Linked DNA regions of Notamacropus eugenii. The protein of the gene in region 2 interacts with the protein of the main gene of each other region in a biochemical or structural test. Links are inferred from orthologs where the notes say so. Each region holds a gene or a part of one and is shown on either strand. Other genes may lie near its edges.

What was found.
Region 1: the proteins of POU2F1 (region 2) and POU2AF1 are reported together in a solved structure, tested with the Homo sapiens proteins (2 studies listed by BioGRID, with this or other methods). The link is inferred for Notamacropus eugenii from reciprocal best matches to the Homo sapiens genes POU2F1 and POU2AF1.

The regions. Positions count from the first base shown.
Region 1 is NC_092876.1:142,885,240-142,893,002, reverse strand, and holds the start of POU2AF1 (POU domain class 2-associating factor 1), read right to left. Parts: upstream 3,365-7,763; 5' UTR 3,275-3,364; intron 1,390-3,274; exon of another isoform or gene 1,339-1,389; intron 1-1,338. UniProt on the Homo sapiens protein: Transcriptional coactivator that specifically associates with either POU2F1/OCT1 or POU2F2/OCT2. It boosts the POU2F1/OCT1 mediated promoter activity and to a lesser extent, that of POU2F2/OCT2. It recognizes the POU domains of POU2F1/OCT1 and POU2F2/OCT2.
Region 2 is NC_092873.1:479,334,490-479,342,054, forward strand, and holds the start of POU2F1 (POU domain, class 2, transcription factor 1), read right to left. Parts: upstream 3,223-7,565; 5' UTR 3,186-3,222; coding exon 3,125-3,185; intron 1-3,124. UniProt on the Homo sapiens protein: Transcription factor that binds to the octamer motif (5'-ATTTGCAT-3') and activates the promoters of the genes for some small nuclear RNAs (snRNA) and of genes such as those for histone H2B and immunoglobulins.

The DNA.
Region 1 (7,763 bases), on a different chromosome or scaffold from region 2:
GAAGAAAATCAACTAGTCTACTTGTCCAAATAATTGCCACTGTCTCAACAGCACTGATATCACAATTGATCATTGCTCTGAAAGGCCACACTTGTGAAACCAAAGCAATGTGCACTTTACACAACATAAAACAACATGTAAAGAAAAAGGATTTTTCAAAAATAAATATTCTTTGTCAGCTAATCCATCCTTTGTAACTGTCAGGCTTCAGAAGGCTGGCAGCTGGCCCATCAGACAAAAATGCAGCTGTGACCTGAGAAACGTGAGAAGGGGAGCATATTAATGAAGATGAAAAACATGTTTTGTAACTATGTCCAAGAGGAGGTCCAGGATAGCCCCTGGACTGGTGCTTTGTGAAGGATGAGGTCCCCAATACTACTAGTGCTACCCAGGGGAGAAAGTCAGATAGGGAGGCCCTGCCTTCTGTCAGTCCATTTCTCTGACATGAACTCCTTAGGAATTCATTAAGCATAACTTACATTTATATGGCATTTTAAGATTTATAAAGCATTTTATATAAATGACCTCACCCAATCCTTATAAACCTAGGAGGAAGAGGCAATTATAATAAGCTCCAATTTAATAAGAGGAAACTGAGCCTCTTAAGTGATTTGTCATCGTTATCACTCACAGAGGTGGTAAGTGACTCTGGTAGGATTTGAATTCAGGTCTCTCATACTCCAGATCCAACACTCTCTCCATCACTCTACGATTCTTCTCTCTGGGCCTCCTTGAGCCCACCAAGTAGGAAAGTCATCCAAGATAGTGTTGAGGGAGCTGGGCCAAACACAGATCAGAAAAAAACAGGGTTTCCCTGGAAGTGTGATCTCTTCACCTGGTGTCTCTGGATGCCACTGAGATATTACCCAAGCAATTTACTCCCTTTTCCCTTCAATTCTTCAATGAGCAACCTAGTCAAAGCCTGGAGAAAAGAAATGACCTACAGGGAAGGGGTGATGAGTCAAAAGGAAATTGTGTAATTCCAGATAAAAAGATAAAACAAATAAGCATAGAATAATGTGGGCTAAGGGGAGACTGGCTTGAGGTGGCTAAGATTTCTAGACCCCTTATTCTTCAACTTAGAGCATCTTAGTCCACCTAGCCCTTTTCCCACCTTAAGTATAAATCCTTTTCACACCCTCTCTGATAAGCTTCTTCCTGAAGATCTCCAGTGACAGGAAACTCACTACCTCCTGAGGTAGCACATTCCATTTATGGGTGGCTCCAATTTGCAGGAGGTTTTTCTTAGCTATGCTGAGTTACTCTTGCTCATTGATGACCCTCTATCATCAACTACACATAAGGAATCTTGAGGAAGGGGAAAGTTCAGGGATTTACCCAGTTTCTGGGAAAGGTTCCTCTAAGGATCAGCAGTCAAGTCCTTAACATCTAGAAAGGCCAAGAAAAGTTCCATATTAGTCCAGATACCCACCTACCCACAAGGATCTGATTACTATCTCAAGAAAAATATTATGACGCCAGAGTTGGTTCGGAGATAGTTATCAAAATTAGCAAGGGGATAAAAGGTACTCTATACAAATGTAGATTTTTAAAATTAGGAGGTTTCTGTTTAGAAAGATGAAGCCTGTGATAGAAAGGCAGAATGGCATAATGGATATGGAACTGAAATTGGAATCAGGAAGGCCTGGGTTCAAATGCCATCTCAGAAACTTACTAGTTGTGTCCCTCTGAGCAAGTCCCTTATCCTTTCTGTGCCTCAGTTTTCTCATCTACAAAATGGAGGGCAGGAGTAGACTTGCTGGCATCTCAGATGCTTCTAGCTCTAAATCTGTCATCTTGAAGATCATGAAGGGACAACCAGAATGATCCTGGATCTGGTCATTAAATATCAGAATAGTAGGATGAGAAGGCATTCTTGTATTCTTAAAAAGGATTTTAGGATAAATAAGGAATTAAGATAAATAAAAGGAATTACTAATTTTGCCATTGGAGTTGGTAAATTTCTGGACCTTGTTAACTATAAGAGATGAAACAGACCAAAGCAAAGAACTGGGAATGGAGTACCTATTACTTGTGGGGGATGGTTAAACAAATGATTATTTTATTGTTTTTTTCAGTCATTTCAGTCATGTTCAACTCTTCATGACAACATTTGGGGGGGTTTTTTGGCAAAGATACTGGAGAGTACTTTGCATTTCCTTCTCCAATTCACTTTCTAGATGAGGAAATGAGGACAAAACAGGGTTAAGTGACTTGTTTAGAGTCACACAGTTAATAAGTTTCTGAGGTCAAATTTGAACTTGGGAAAATGAGTCTTTCTGACCTCAGGCCTGGTACCCTATCCACTGCACTAGTATGCCATAAGAAATTATTAAAAAGCCTATTTCAAGGAAACTGGCAAAGCTGAATGAGCAGAATCAGAATAATTTATATAACAAAAATATTATTAAAAAAAAATTTGAAGGGCTTATTCAGGGGAATGACCAACCAATTCTAGACAACTAACGTTAACGCATACTACTTCAAGCATTCAACTTGAGTCCAGAGGTAAAGGACTCAAGATCCAGAATGAAGTATACATTTTTAGACAGATATACATTTTCAGACATGACTGTACTTATTTATTACAAAGGAGGGTTTCTATTAGAGGACAGTAAGAGGCATGGTGGCTAGTGATATGATGTGAAAGAAAGAAAAAAGTGTCAATAAAACATCTAAAATTTATACAGAAGAAAGAATAAGAAAGTCTAGAAAGGAACACAGACAAAGCAGGTCAGCTTTGTTACTGCCATGTTAAATTTAATACTTTTAGACAACTGTACGTGAGAGAAGTTGGTCATTTTATGTACAATCATCTTCTATTCCTTATGTATGAAATGCTTGTATTTAAGTTCATAGTAAAGAAGAGAATTTATATTTTAAAAAATAACAAGCATTTGCTAAGCCCCCACCAAATACAAGGCTCAGTGCTAAACCCCAAGCATACCAAGACACAATGAAAAGCTATCTTTATCCTCAAAGAGCTCACATTCTACTACAATTACACAGATCACTAGATTATAGATTTAGAACTAGAAGAAACCACAGAGGCCATTTAGTTCAACCCTCTCATTTTACAGATGAGGAAACTGAGGTTAAGTTTCCTTAACCTTAAATAATTTGCCAAAGATCTAATGGCTAGTAAGTGGCAGAGTCAGGATTCTGTTCCAGATCCCCAATTCCACATCTAGGTTTCTTTGTAGTAATTTTGGAAGAAAAAGGGAGCACTAACTGGGGAGATCAGCAAAGTTTTTTTATAGGAAAGAGGTAGTACCTGTTATGATCCTTGATGGAAGTTCTAAGAGAAGAAAGTTTATTCCAATCCTGAAGGACAGTCTTGGCAGAGGCATGGTAGTGGGAGATGGGATGCCAAGTCTGGGAAATAGTAAGCAGGTGAGTTTGGCTGGAATGTAGAGTCCATGAAGAGGAGCAATCTGAAATACTCCCAAACACAGATACTCATAACCTGTTATCCTCTGGCTGATCCTTGGAAGCCACCACATCCTGTCAACTCTACTGCCTACTTATCTTTCACATCCATTCTCCCCCTACTGTTCTCACAGCCAATCCAGTAGTTCAACTCGTTAATTGTTACCTGGATTATCACAAAACCCTTCTCACTGCTCTCCTTGACTGTATTCCAATATAGAAATGCTAGCTATAATAATAATTATTATTATTTTTAATTCCTCTCACCCCAATTCATATGACCTATCCCTACCAAATTAATCTCCTGTGTATAGCTCAGATCATATCACTCCACTGCTCAGAAACTTCCATGCCTTCCCATTGTCTAAATAAAAGAGCAGTCTCCCCACTTTTTGGCTTTATCTCATGCTACTTCCTTTTGCCTATCCTATACCCTAATTTCAATGGATTAGTTGTTATCTCCCAAAGCAGTCTCAGGCTTTCTTCTACCTGTGTTCAAATGCCCTTCCCCCAAATTTCTCTCCTTTAATAGAGCACCCATCATTTAAACTGCAGCTCAGATGTTGCCTGAGTTTAGACTCTGTACTCCTCATATATTTATAATATTCAAATTTGTATTTTTCTATGAGAATGTCTTCTCTCTCCATACTAGACTATAAATAAGTTCTATAAGACTGTGTCATGCTTATCTCCGTATCTCCTCTAATGCTCAACATATCCATGGCACATAGAAGGCCCTTAATAAATGCCTGTTAAATTAGTTTAGCTAGCGCAAAGGAGTCATATAATCAAATGAGATAATATATGTCAAGCACTTTGCAAACCTTAAAGTGCTATCTAATTGTCAGCTATACAGGTGAATAGTAGGAATTAAGGCTGAAATGTAAGAAGCAACCAACCTGTGGAAAGCTTTGCATGACAGGCTTGGCATTGATCAAGTGCCTTAGAGGGGACTAAGGAGAATGAGCACTAAGAAGAGTCCATTGGGTTTATTAATTAGGAGCTAAGCTATCAGAGAGACATTTCAGAGTGGTGACAATGAAAGAAAAGTTGTAAGGAGTTAAAGAGTGAAGAAATGGAAGCAGGGGCAGAGGCCAAAGTTGGAAAATGTTGCTACTGAAAGGGAAATAGGGAAGTAACTAGGAGAGGAAGAAAAATCAAACAGAGGTTTGGGATTTGTGTTTTCTTTTTTAAAATAAAGGGAACAGGATTGTACTTGAAGATAGAGTAGGACCAAATCTCCACACTATGTTTTACCTCCCCTAGAGATAGGGGACCCATACCTATCTTGTCCTACCCCATAATTTTTGTAGATGAAGAAACTAAAAGCCAAGGTAGTTGCATGACTTCCTCAGGGTCACAAAGTAAGTCGATACCTTGAGTCAGAACTAGAACTTAGGTCTCAGTTTAATGTTCTTTCTACTTCTAGATAGACTCAAGAGTCTCCCAAAGGAACTAGGTACATAGGAAAATCTGGACCCCTTTATCCAGCCCAAACCACTGACAAAACTTTTACAAAGTTTTCTTTCTACTCTCATCCTCTGTCACCATTCTTACCTTGCTGCCATTCTAAAAGCATTCTCAAACTTGACTTGGGATGGGAGGACCTTACCTGGCAGGCCTGATGGGATGAATGTAAGTCAAAGATATAGACCTCACCTGAACCTGGTCACTTTTCTCTCCAGATATGCTGGCGGATGGAGCAGTCTACTTTGGAGAGGTTCCCTCCAGGGAGATATAGACCTCCCAGATATGCCCTCTTTCTGACCAACATCAAAAGGGCAGTTCCAGGAGTCTCAGAAGTTCTAGAGATATATTTGGTGACAGGGGCAAACCATGGAGACATCAGTCCCCAGCAAATGAAAGCGCAAAAGGTCTCCTTGTTTGAATTTGAAAAAAAGTTCTCCGTCCTAAGGTATACCAGCCACTCCCAACCAAGAACTGAGGCAGGAACCTCACGGGGAGAAAAAAGTCACCTCCTTCCCTAGCTGGGCCAAGGGAAATCAAAGCTCGTACTCTGGACCCAAAGGCTGAGAGACTAGGAAGATGGAGGTACTTGGAGAGACATTTTATGAGATCTTTGATCCAAAGCCCTGTTTGGGAGAGAGGGGCTACAAAGAATTTTGGGGCAAGGATTCTGAGGGAGAGAGGAGAAGAAAGCCCCTTATTACCACAGAGAGAATGTACCTTAAACAGTGAAGAAAGCTGCTTCTCCAGTATGACACTTAAGGGTCTGTGGCAATGGGCTTAGGGCCAGGATAGGATCACTCAGGTTTTTATTTCCCATTTGTAAATGGAGAGAGGTGAGGAAAGGAATTCTTTGGCTGAGTAACACAATACCACTAGGTCCAGCCCACCAGGGTTGGCCATGGGAAGAACAAACAAGTCTCCAGTCTCACACTAGTGAGTTCCTGGGCACTCGTTCCTAGGTGCCACTCATTAGGGTGAAGCCTTCAATGATTGAGGTGACTGGGGCTGTGGGGAGAGGGAGATGGCAAACTCTACATGGAGAAGAAGAAACAGACTCTTGAGTCCCAAGATCAGGGACCCCAAAACAAAATGTCACTGAATATTCAAGTGAGAGCCCCCTGAGTCTTGGCTAGCGCTGACCAACATGTCCTCCCCATGTCCCTGCCATCTCTATCATAAGTTTCCTCGTTAAATCAGGATGGAGTCTACAAGTCCAGAGGTGGCTCCTTTGTTCTGTCATTGGAACGAAGTAAGGGGCTTCCTGAGCGATGTCTGAACAGGCACAGGACACACCTAGGAAAGCCAATGCCCAGTGCAAGTAAATGTAAAAGGTGCCCTTTGCTTCACAAGCTAAGAGGGATTACACTTAGGATTCTCTCCTGGGCCACTCCCCCCCCCCCCAACAAGCAACCATCATCAGTGTTATTGCTATAATTAATAATAGGGATAGGAACTGGACCTATGATTTCCCACATATAAGCAACCCCTAGGTGAGGAAGCTCCCTCTGCCAAGGCAAGACAGCACTTCCTTTGCAATTAATAGCCTCAGAATTGCCAGGGGCAATGAGAAGTTATGAGCCTTGTCAAGCGTGACACAGCCAGTATGTGCTGGGGACAGGCCTTGAACCCAGATCTCCCAGGCTCTGAGACCATTTCCTATCTACTATGCCACACTGCTGTTGTTAATAATATTAATAACTGATGCTTCAAACAACTGTCAGCCCAGTATTTTTCAAACCTGAGCTCAGAATGAGAGTCTCTCACCTGGTAGGGCTAATGGGATGAGGCACAGACCTCACCTGACCTTGGTAACTTCCTGATGGCCAGCCCAGGACGCTAGTAAAAGGAGTGGCTCCAAGGCCAGGTGCTCCCTCTCCCGCCCTCTGTACACATGCGGGCCTGGCCCGGCTGGGATCTCCCCAGCAGCGTGTTTGTTTTGCTGAGAGTTTTCCGTTGGCTCGCGTGTGGGTGTTTGTTGTATTTCTCTTGCAGATGGCAGACAGCATGCTTCCCCATAGGCGGTACGTAAAGCAGACCCTGCAGGAGAGAACAAAAGCCACGCAGGTGAACAGCCCCGTCTGGCGGTCTCTTTTATCCAGCCCAACCTGAAGACAATATCTTTGCAAAGGTCCCTTTCAAATCCATTCCTGCCATCCTTCTATCCTAGCCTCCCTCCATCTCTCCCTCCTTCTCTCTCTCTCTCTCTCTCTCTGTCTCTCTCTCTGTCTCTCTCTCTGTCTCTCTCTTTGTCTCTCTGTCTCTGTCTCTGTCTCTCTCTCTCTGCCCTGAGAACGTGTGTCTGTGAAAGAGGCAAATCTCTGAGGTAATGCTTCACAATGAACAGCAGACCATTTGCATCTAAAAGGATGCCTCCTACTCAGCCTCTGATCAGCCACTTTCATCTCAAGGTCACTGACGTAGCAGTTTCTGACATAGAGTAGGAACTTATTAAATGTATATTGATTACTAACTAGGAATGAAGAGGACAGGTAACATACCCAAAGGATCCAGGAGGAAGTAGCTCCTTGACTGTGTCTGCCCAACAACTCTAAACCACTTCACATATTTGGCACTCCCCAGGAAAATAAGGAATGTCAGCATGGACAACTCCTGAGACTAGGACAAGACACAAAGGAAGCGTGCCACAAAATGCCAATGTCTCCACAGCACATACTACACTGAAATGGCACACACAGAAGGAGTCCACTACACCACTAACCACCAGCTAGTAGCTTTGCCAGCCACGATGTATTGACCTTATAGACATGAGATCATAGAATTTCAAGCTGGATATCATCTATGTCCAACGCCCTCATTTTACAAACGAAGAACTTGTGGCCCAGAGAGAGTTCAGTGACTAGTCA
Region 2 (7,565 bases):
TGGTTAGCTTAGGGTTGTAATGACCTATTTAAAACAATCCTTTTACAAGAGGGTGGAATCAGATCTGAGACTTTTATGATTACACAATTCTTCTATTTGATAATTTCTACAATAGCATAGAAAGGCAAGATTAATAAATCCAGCTCTGCCATACAACAATACAAGACCAAAATTCAACAATTCCTCCTTTTCCGTATTACTAACACTGAAGTAAAATTTTGTTTCTAAGATGTGATATACATTTTTATCATCTTGGATAAAATATCTACAGTCTCAGTAGTGGTTGAATTGCAGCTATAAAGGAAATTGTCCTGAGATAAATGGCTTCCCTATGAGAAGATTTCACTGCTACACTTCACCTCAGGCCAATAAATCAAATTAACTGCACCTTGTCCTCTGTCCAATGACATCATCAGCTTGACCACATCTTGGGAAGCCAGTATAAAAACATATACTACTTAAGGAATTAAATCATATTACTGCTTTTTGTCCACCCAACCTCCCCCTGACAGTATTTGAAGCCCTCATTCACCTGAACACTCTCATTAAAGCTAAACATTTATTCCTTTCTTAGCATCATTCAGGATTTGTCTTTACCAGGAGCAAAACAGAAAAAAAAAAAAAGTATGAACAGGTTATCTGAAAATTGAATTGCTTAAGTTAATCGACTCAGAAATTTTAAATTGTTATAAATTAAGGAGAAATACTTTGACGATTACTGCCAGGAGCTGAACTGTAAAATCTCTTAAATTGTTTCCATGCTGCTGTAACACGTCAAAAAAAACAACACAAAACAAAAAACAAGCAACCAAGGCTCTTAAAAGAAGTCTGCTGTCTACTATTTTCCTTCAATATCAAGTGGATGGTCACTAATGAAAAGCTCTACCATTTTAGCATATCACTACAGCCACAAAATAAAATGAAAACCAAAATTTGCCCAAGAAGAATCTAAATCCAAGTGATTATTACTTCTAAAGAGTATGAGTTAATCGTTTTAAAAATAACTCCACTGTGTTTACCTTGATGAAATTAATTCTGACCACTTTGGAAGAGGAAAGGAATAGTAAAGTCCCAGTAGCCCAGGAGGCACACACACACATATATACATATATACGTATTTTTCCTCTAATTTTTGCCCACATGGCATAGCATAAACAGCAAAGAAAATATTCCTATTTTCAAATATTTTCTACATTCAAGTATTGATAATATAAACCTTCAAAAGCACAAGATATTACTCTCCTTTTAAGTTATAGTGAAAGAAGACAGTACTGAGAAATTCTTAAAGTGTTCCAATATTACTATCGTGAAATGTCTAAAAATCTTGGGATTTCTCCTATCTCCTAGAAAACTTTGTTGATTTTTACAAGTACAAGAAAGATCTTTCAGGGAGTGAAAGTGTTAATTAAATAGAAATCGTTGTCCCCCCCAAACAAACTCTATTAAAGAATGAAAGCATCTTACGTGTTCCAACTCCCACTAAAAATGAGAAAATAAAGCCATTTCTCTAAAACGTCTAACCGCTGCTTAGATTCTATGAAAACCTCTTTTAAAAAGAAAACAAAACATCCCCAGCCTCTGGCTTCGCTGGGAGCTGAGCGGTTTTGAAGCTGGTCGAGCCCCAGGGGGGTTTTGTCTTGCCCGCAGGGGGTGGGCCGCGTGGTGCGTGTTTGGGGGGGGTAGTTGGTGGGGGGAGTGATTTTGGTTATTAGTAAATAAATCAAGCGGCAGAGAGGACGAGGCCTAGGCATCTGCTGCAGGAGCTCAGGCCTAGCTCCCCCTTCTCTTCTCAGCACAGCCCGGGTTTGATCTTGGAGCCCTGCGGATTGCCAAGAAGGAAAAAAAAAGAATCATATCGAACCACAAAAGCACATGGGGCGAATGTAAAATATAAACACGGCGTTGGGCTGTGAGTGGCTGTTATTAAAGGTCTGAATTACTAAACATGAGAGGCGGGGAAAGCCAGGCGGCCATTTCAATAATATAAACCTCCCCGAATTAGACATTATTCAAATGAGAGAGGTACCGAGCGGGAGAGAGCAGCGAGGACCCGGGGCACCGGCCCAGGGAGGGCAATCTCCGGCCCGAGCGGGGCAGGCGGGGATGGCACCGGGCCGGGAGCCGCCGGCCGGGCACCCCAGCGCCAGGCGCTGCCCCCGGGGCCCCCAGGCCGGGGAAGTGAGTCTCTGGAGTACCCTCCCTCCAAGTGTGCCAAGGGGGCCGGCACCTACGGGCAAGGTCCCGAGGCCGCGGGGAGCGGGGAGGGGGCGACGGCGCCAATCCCTCCTGCCCAGGTGGCTCTTCCTGGTTCCACCTTCCACACCCAGGTGAGCCAGACCCACCCCGGCACGGAGAGCTCCACGCCCCCTCCCCCAGCGCCGAGGGCCCCCGCCGGCCCACACCGACCCTCGGACAAGCTCCCCGCCCCGAGAGGGGCCCCCCAAGCCCGGGTCACCGGCGGCACGGCCGCGGGAGCGCCTAGGTCGGCGGGGGGGAAGGACCCACCTAAGGATTTTAAACCTCAGACCCACGTGCGGCGGGGCGGGCGGGCGCAAGGACGCGCGGGGGCCGCCCCCGCCCCCCGCCGCGGGCACCGCTCCCCGGCCCCCCCCACTCCCGGCCAGGCGTCCGGCCCGCCGGGGTCCCGCTCCTTCCGCGGCCGCCTCCTCCCCCAGCCCACGGCATTGTGCTCGCCCGCCCCCTCCCCCGGCGACACACCCCCCGCCCCCCCCAGGCCGGCCGGCGCAGCCTCCCGCCACCCGCCCGGCCGATCGCTGATGAATATGTAAAATGTCTTTATTGTCCGCACCCGCGGCCCCCGGCGCCGCCGCCGCGGACCCGGCAGCCGGGCCGGGAGGGCCGGGGGGCCGACGAGCGGGGGCCGGAGGAGCCGGGTGGCTCGCCTGCCCCCGTGCCCCTTGTCTTCCCCTCCGCCTGGACGCACCGAGCCGCTTTAGCCCTTCGCTCGGCTCCCGGCGGGGGCTACGGGCTCCCCGGCCCCCCATCTCCCCGCCGTTAATTATAATAATCCTGAGTACTAATAAATTATGCTAAGTCGCAGGGGGGGGCAGCGGGAGCCGGGGTTGAGTATGAATATGAATATGTAAAATGCTGTAATGATTACCTGCTGCTGCTGCCGCCGCGGCTGAACTCTCATCTTGACTCGCTGCTCCTCCGTCCGCCATTTTGAATATTTTAACCAAAATCGGCCGGTCGATAAACCCTCCCTCGCTCCCTGCTCCCCTCCCCCCTCCCGCCCTCCATGCCTCCTCCCTCTGCTTTCTCCTCCTCCTCCCGGCCTCCTCCCCCCTCCCCGCCCAGCTCTCTCCTCACACCAGGCGCGCGCCAGGGGGCGCGCGAGGCTGATGCTCGCCCCGCCCCTCCCCCTCTACGCACACACCCTCACGACTCCGCGCCTGCGTCTCTCCACCTCGCGCTTCTTCACATGTCCTCTCGCTTCCCTCCCCCCCCCTTCACTTTCTGGGTCTCTGCGTCACTTTCTCCTCGGGAACCTAGAGGGATTCGGGCACACACATGCGCAGTCTGTCCCCTGTCGCCTCCGACTTGGATAGGCTTTTCGTGTTCGGCTGCTTTTCTTTCACTCTGTCCCCCTCACCCCGCCCCCTTCACCCAAGCGACTCCGAAAACATTTGCGTTTGCGCAGTTGGCGTGAGCAGGGCACGAGTTCCGTTGCCCGTCCCAGCTCTGGCAGGGAAGTTTGTGGACAAACACGAGGGAATGGCGTGCGGAGCGAGGGACTCACAGGCCATTTTCTCCCTCCCATGAGCGGAACGGAGCCACAGCGTCACCTCGTTGGCGACCCTGCACCGAAGTGCAAGAGTGCCCGGACTGCCGGCCGCCCGCGGACCAATGGCGGCCGAGCCTTCCCTCCCAGGCTCCGAGGCCGCGGGAGTGCGCCCGCGCGCAGGTTACCCGACGTGCTGGCGGCGCGCTCGTCACCGCGGCGGCGCGCGGGCCCCGGGCTCCTCCGCACCTGTGGCGCCCCATCCCGCTTTAAATTTGAATTCCGTACTTAATCCCCGCCCCCAAACCCTCCTCCGACCCAGCCAGCCCCGGAGCGCTCGGAGAGCGTGCTCTGCAGGACTCCCTGCGTCCGCAGCCCGCATACAGTCGGCGCTTACTAAACGGCCTGCCTGCCCCGTCCGCTCCTGTCAGCGCCCCGCCCGGCCTTGCTCTTCCCTGAGCGTCCGCGGAGCCGAGGCACCCTGGGGACGGCGCGCGGCTCGGAGAGGTGGCGCCCCAAGCGCCGGGGGAGCCTAATCGGGGCGTCCCTACCCCTACCCCTAGCCCGCAGACCTCCGAGCGCCGCCACGCGCCCCGGGGCTCTGCGAAAGCGTTCCCATGGTGTGGACAGCTGTCTTCACTTGTTCTTCGTTTGGGCTGGACCCCCAAAACTTAGTCATTTTAGCCTGAGCCAAATCCTGCGGACACTCCTGGGGGTCTGGCGTAGTGTTTGGTTTTGGTGAGAGTAAAAAATGCATATGTTTTATGGCACACAAAAGAGTCCCTTTCCCCCTGCGCTGCCTCTGAATCTCCCCGAAACTCCGATGCGGGAGAAGGAGGAGCGAATCGGGCCTGGTGTGCGGGGGCGAGGTCCTGGGAGAAGGGACGTCTGGTAGTGTGAGGACAGGCCGGTGAGGGGCGGCCGTGGGCCCGGCCTCGCGCTGCCAGGCCCTTCACTTCCACGCCTTTTCCTTTAAGCCAGAGGGGCCACAGCGGATTTCCGAGCCCAGATCTGTGGTTCTGTGAAGTCATGTTGAAGCCTCCAGGTTGGATGGATGGACCGAGTGCACCAGCGCATGACAGCAAAGACATCTGAAGGGAGAGATTTGTTTGGGAAAATCGGAGATCCATTGAGCAGACTCCGATAAAGACCCTCTCTGATGCCTGTTGGTGGATTAGGGGCTTCTCGAAGACTACCCGGCGGCACCCAAGTTCTGACAGATCCTGTCAAGCCAGAAGGACTTCACGCCCGACAGCCAATCTGCAGTCCAAGCCTCCTTGAAGGGAGTTGGAGAGGAGGGGGTGTTCCTGATTATAATCCTGATTTATGTCCAAAATGAACCGTCAATTCCTAAAAACTTTTATAGAGTTCCAAGACTTCCCAGATACCTTCAAAGCACCCTTCACGTTCTGTGGGGAATAGCAGGGGACACTAGAGTAACGGGTGGGTAAGGCCAAAAGGTCATGTTTAATGGGATTTCACTGCAGATTCTTAAAACAGAGAAAAATTAATGTGAGTACAGCTCAAAGACGTGTCTAGGAGGAGTAACTTAAAGTAGATTTTGGACAGTAGCGGGTTTCTAAGGAGTCTATAAGACTACGTGTGTGTTCGTCCTTCATTGCCAAAGAAAACCCATGCCATCAGAGAAATTGACATGACTTGCAATTGACTTTGTTTGGAGTGAGGGAGGGCTGTGCAGGTCACCAGCCTCACTTCTCCCCCAGAGCCATCTGAATCCAGTGACCAGATATTCATCAGGATGACCGGAGACGACCCAGGATGAGGCAATTGGGGTGAAGTGACTTGCCCAAGGTCACACAGCTAGTGAGTGTCAGTGTCTGAAGTGAGATGTCTGTGTTAAGCTGTAGGAAACAATCAACGTAGTGAATTTGGCTGTTTCAGTCATTGGCTCCAGATGACAAGCTCTGGGAAAGCAGCAACTTTTCTTTCTCCTGACTAGCACCAAACACAGTGCATTCTTGATGCCAAAGTGGCATTTCAACTCAACATGAACAAAGTGAAATTAATCATTTTACCTCTAAAACCAGCGCTTTTCTACAGACTTCTTTATTTCTGTTGGAGGAGCTATCATCCTTCTAAGTAGATTCATAAGCATGGAGGAGTCTTACGTGACTCTTTCCTCTCCTTTTCCCTCTCAGTCCCCATATTAAATCATTTGCTAAGGATAATTCATTTTATATACCTAAAAACTTTCTCATTGGTCCCTTTCTCTCATATCCCTGCTTCCCCAGTACAAACCATTTCTCATTTGAACTATCTAATTGAGGCAGCAAGGTTGTGAAGTGGCTGAGCCTTAGGCCTTCCTGAAGAAAATACCTGACTTCAAATCCAACCGCAGACACTAGCTAGCTGTGTGATCTAAGCAAATCTTTTTAATCTCTGCCTCAGTTTCTTCAACTGTAAAATAGGGATAATAATAGCACTTACCTTCCAGGGCTGCTGTAAGGCTCAAATGAGACAATATTGGTGAAGTGGCTGGCACATTGTAGTTGCTATATAAGTGCCAATTGATGCCCTACTTCTAATTCTCCCTCTCCAAAGCATCTTTGACATAGATGCCAAAGTCATCTTCCTAGGCACAGGTCTAACTTCCTCACTCCCTTGCTGAAAAAATTCCACTGCTTTCCTGTTGCCTGAAGAAAAAAATACAAACTGCTACCCAGCCTAGCATTTTACATCCCTGTACAATTTGACTCTAATCTACCCTTCCAGCCTCATTATATGCTACTTCCCTTCTCACATTTTCCAATCTAGCCAAAATGACTTCCTTGTTGTTTCTTACACGTGACACCCAGTCTCCCATAACCATGCCTTTGCAATATACTCCCTTCTCTTCTCAGGCCTTCAGACTGCTTGCTACATGATCCACCCACCCCAAGCTTCTGTGTTGTCACCGAGAATGGTGACTAAACCTGCTCTAAAAAGGGGTAGGGATGGGAGGAGGGGGAGAGGGAAGAAAATGGGAAGAGGTTTCATTTAGAAGGTGGTGGTTTAGCTGAGTTTTGATGCAAGCATGGGATTATGAAAGATAAGGAGAGGAACAACCGCATTCCAAGCATGGGAAATAGCCTGTGTGAAAAGCATGAAGACAGGCGGTAGTAAGGAGGCAGGAGATTCTACACCCTACTCTGTTTTACCACGAGTTGAATTACCTTACACAAGACAACTCATTCTGCACTTCAGTTTTCTCACTTAAAGGCCTTTTGCCCTTCCTTCTTGGGGTATTCATAGTCAATGTTTTAGAATCCATGGAAGCTTAGGAGGGACCTGCTTCGAAGCAAGCTTCCCCCAACTCCCCACTTCAGAGCATAGACAGATGTCCTCCAAATGTTTCCTGATAGTGTACTGGGTGGTATTGAAAAGCCTTTCAGTTGGTTGCTGAACCAGACCTCTATGGGTGTACTAAATAGGGTGATCCCTAACCCCCATGTTCTTCTTTAAATCTTTGATAAAGGAGCATCCAATAAAATGAAGGCCCTCCTGTAGGTCTTTTTTTCTGTTATAAGGGTAATACTATTGGTCATATAGCCACTGAAAAAAAGAAAACCCCAATATGTCACAAAATACTTATAACAGTGTTTTTTAGTAGCAAAGAACTGGAAACCAACTAGATGCTGATCCTTTGGGGAATGTCTAAACAAGCCATGGTACATAAATGTTATGGATTATTACTTTACTGGTAAGAAATTATGAATATGATGAATGCAGAGAAGCACGAATAGACCTATATTCACTGATACAGAGTGAACTAAGTAGGGCAAAAAAAATAATATGCACAACTACAACAATGGAAATGGAA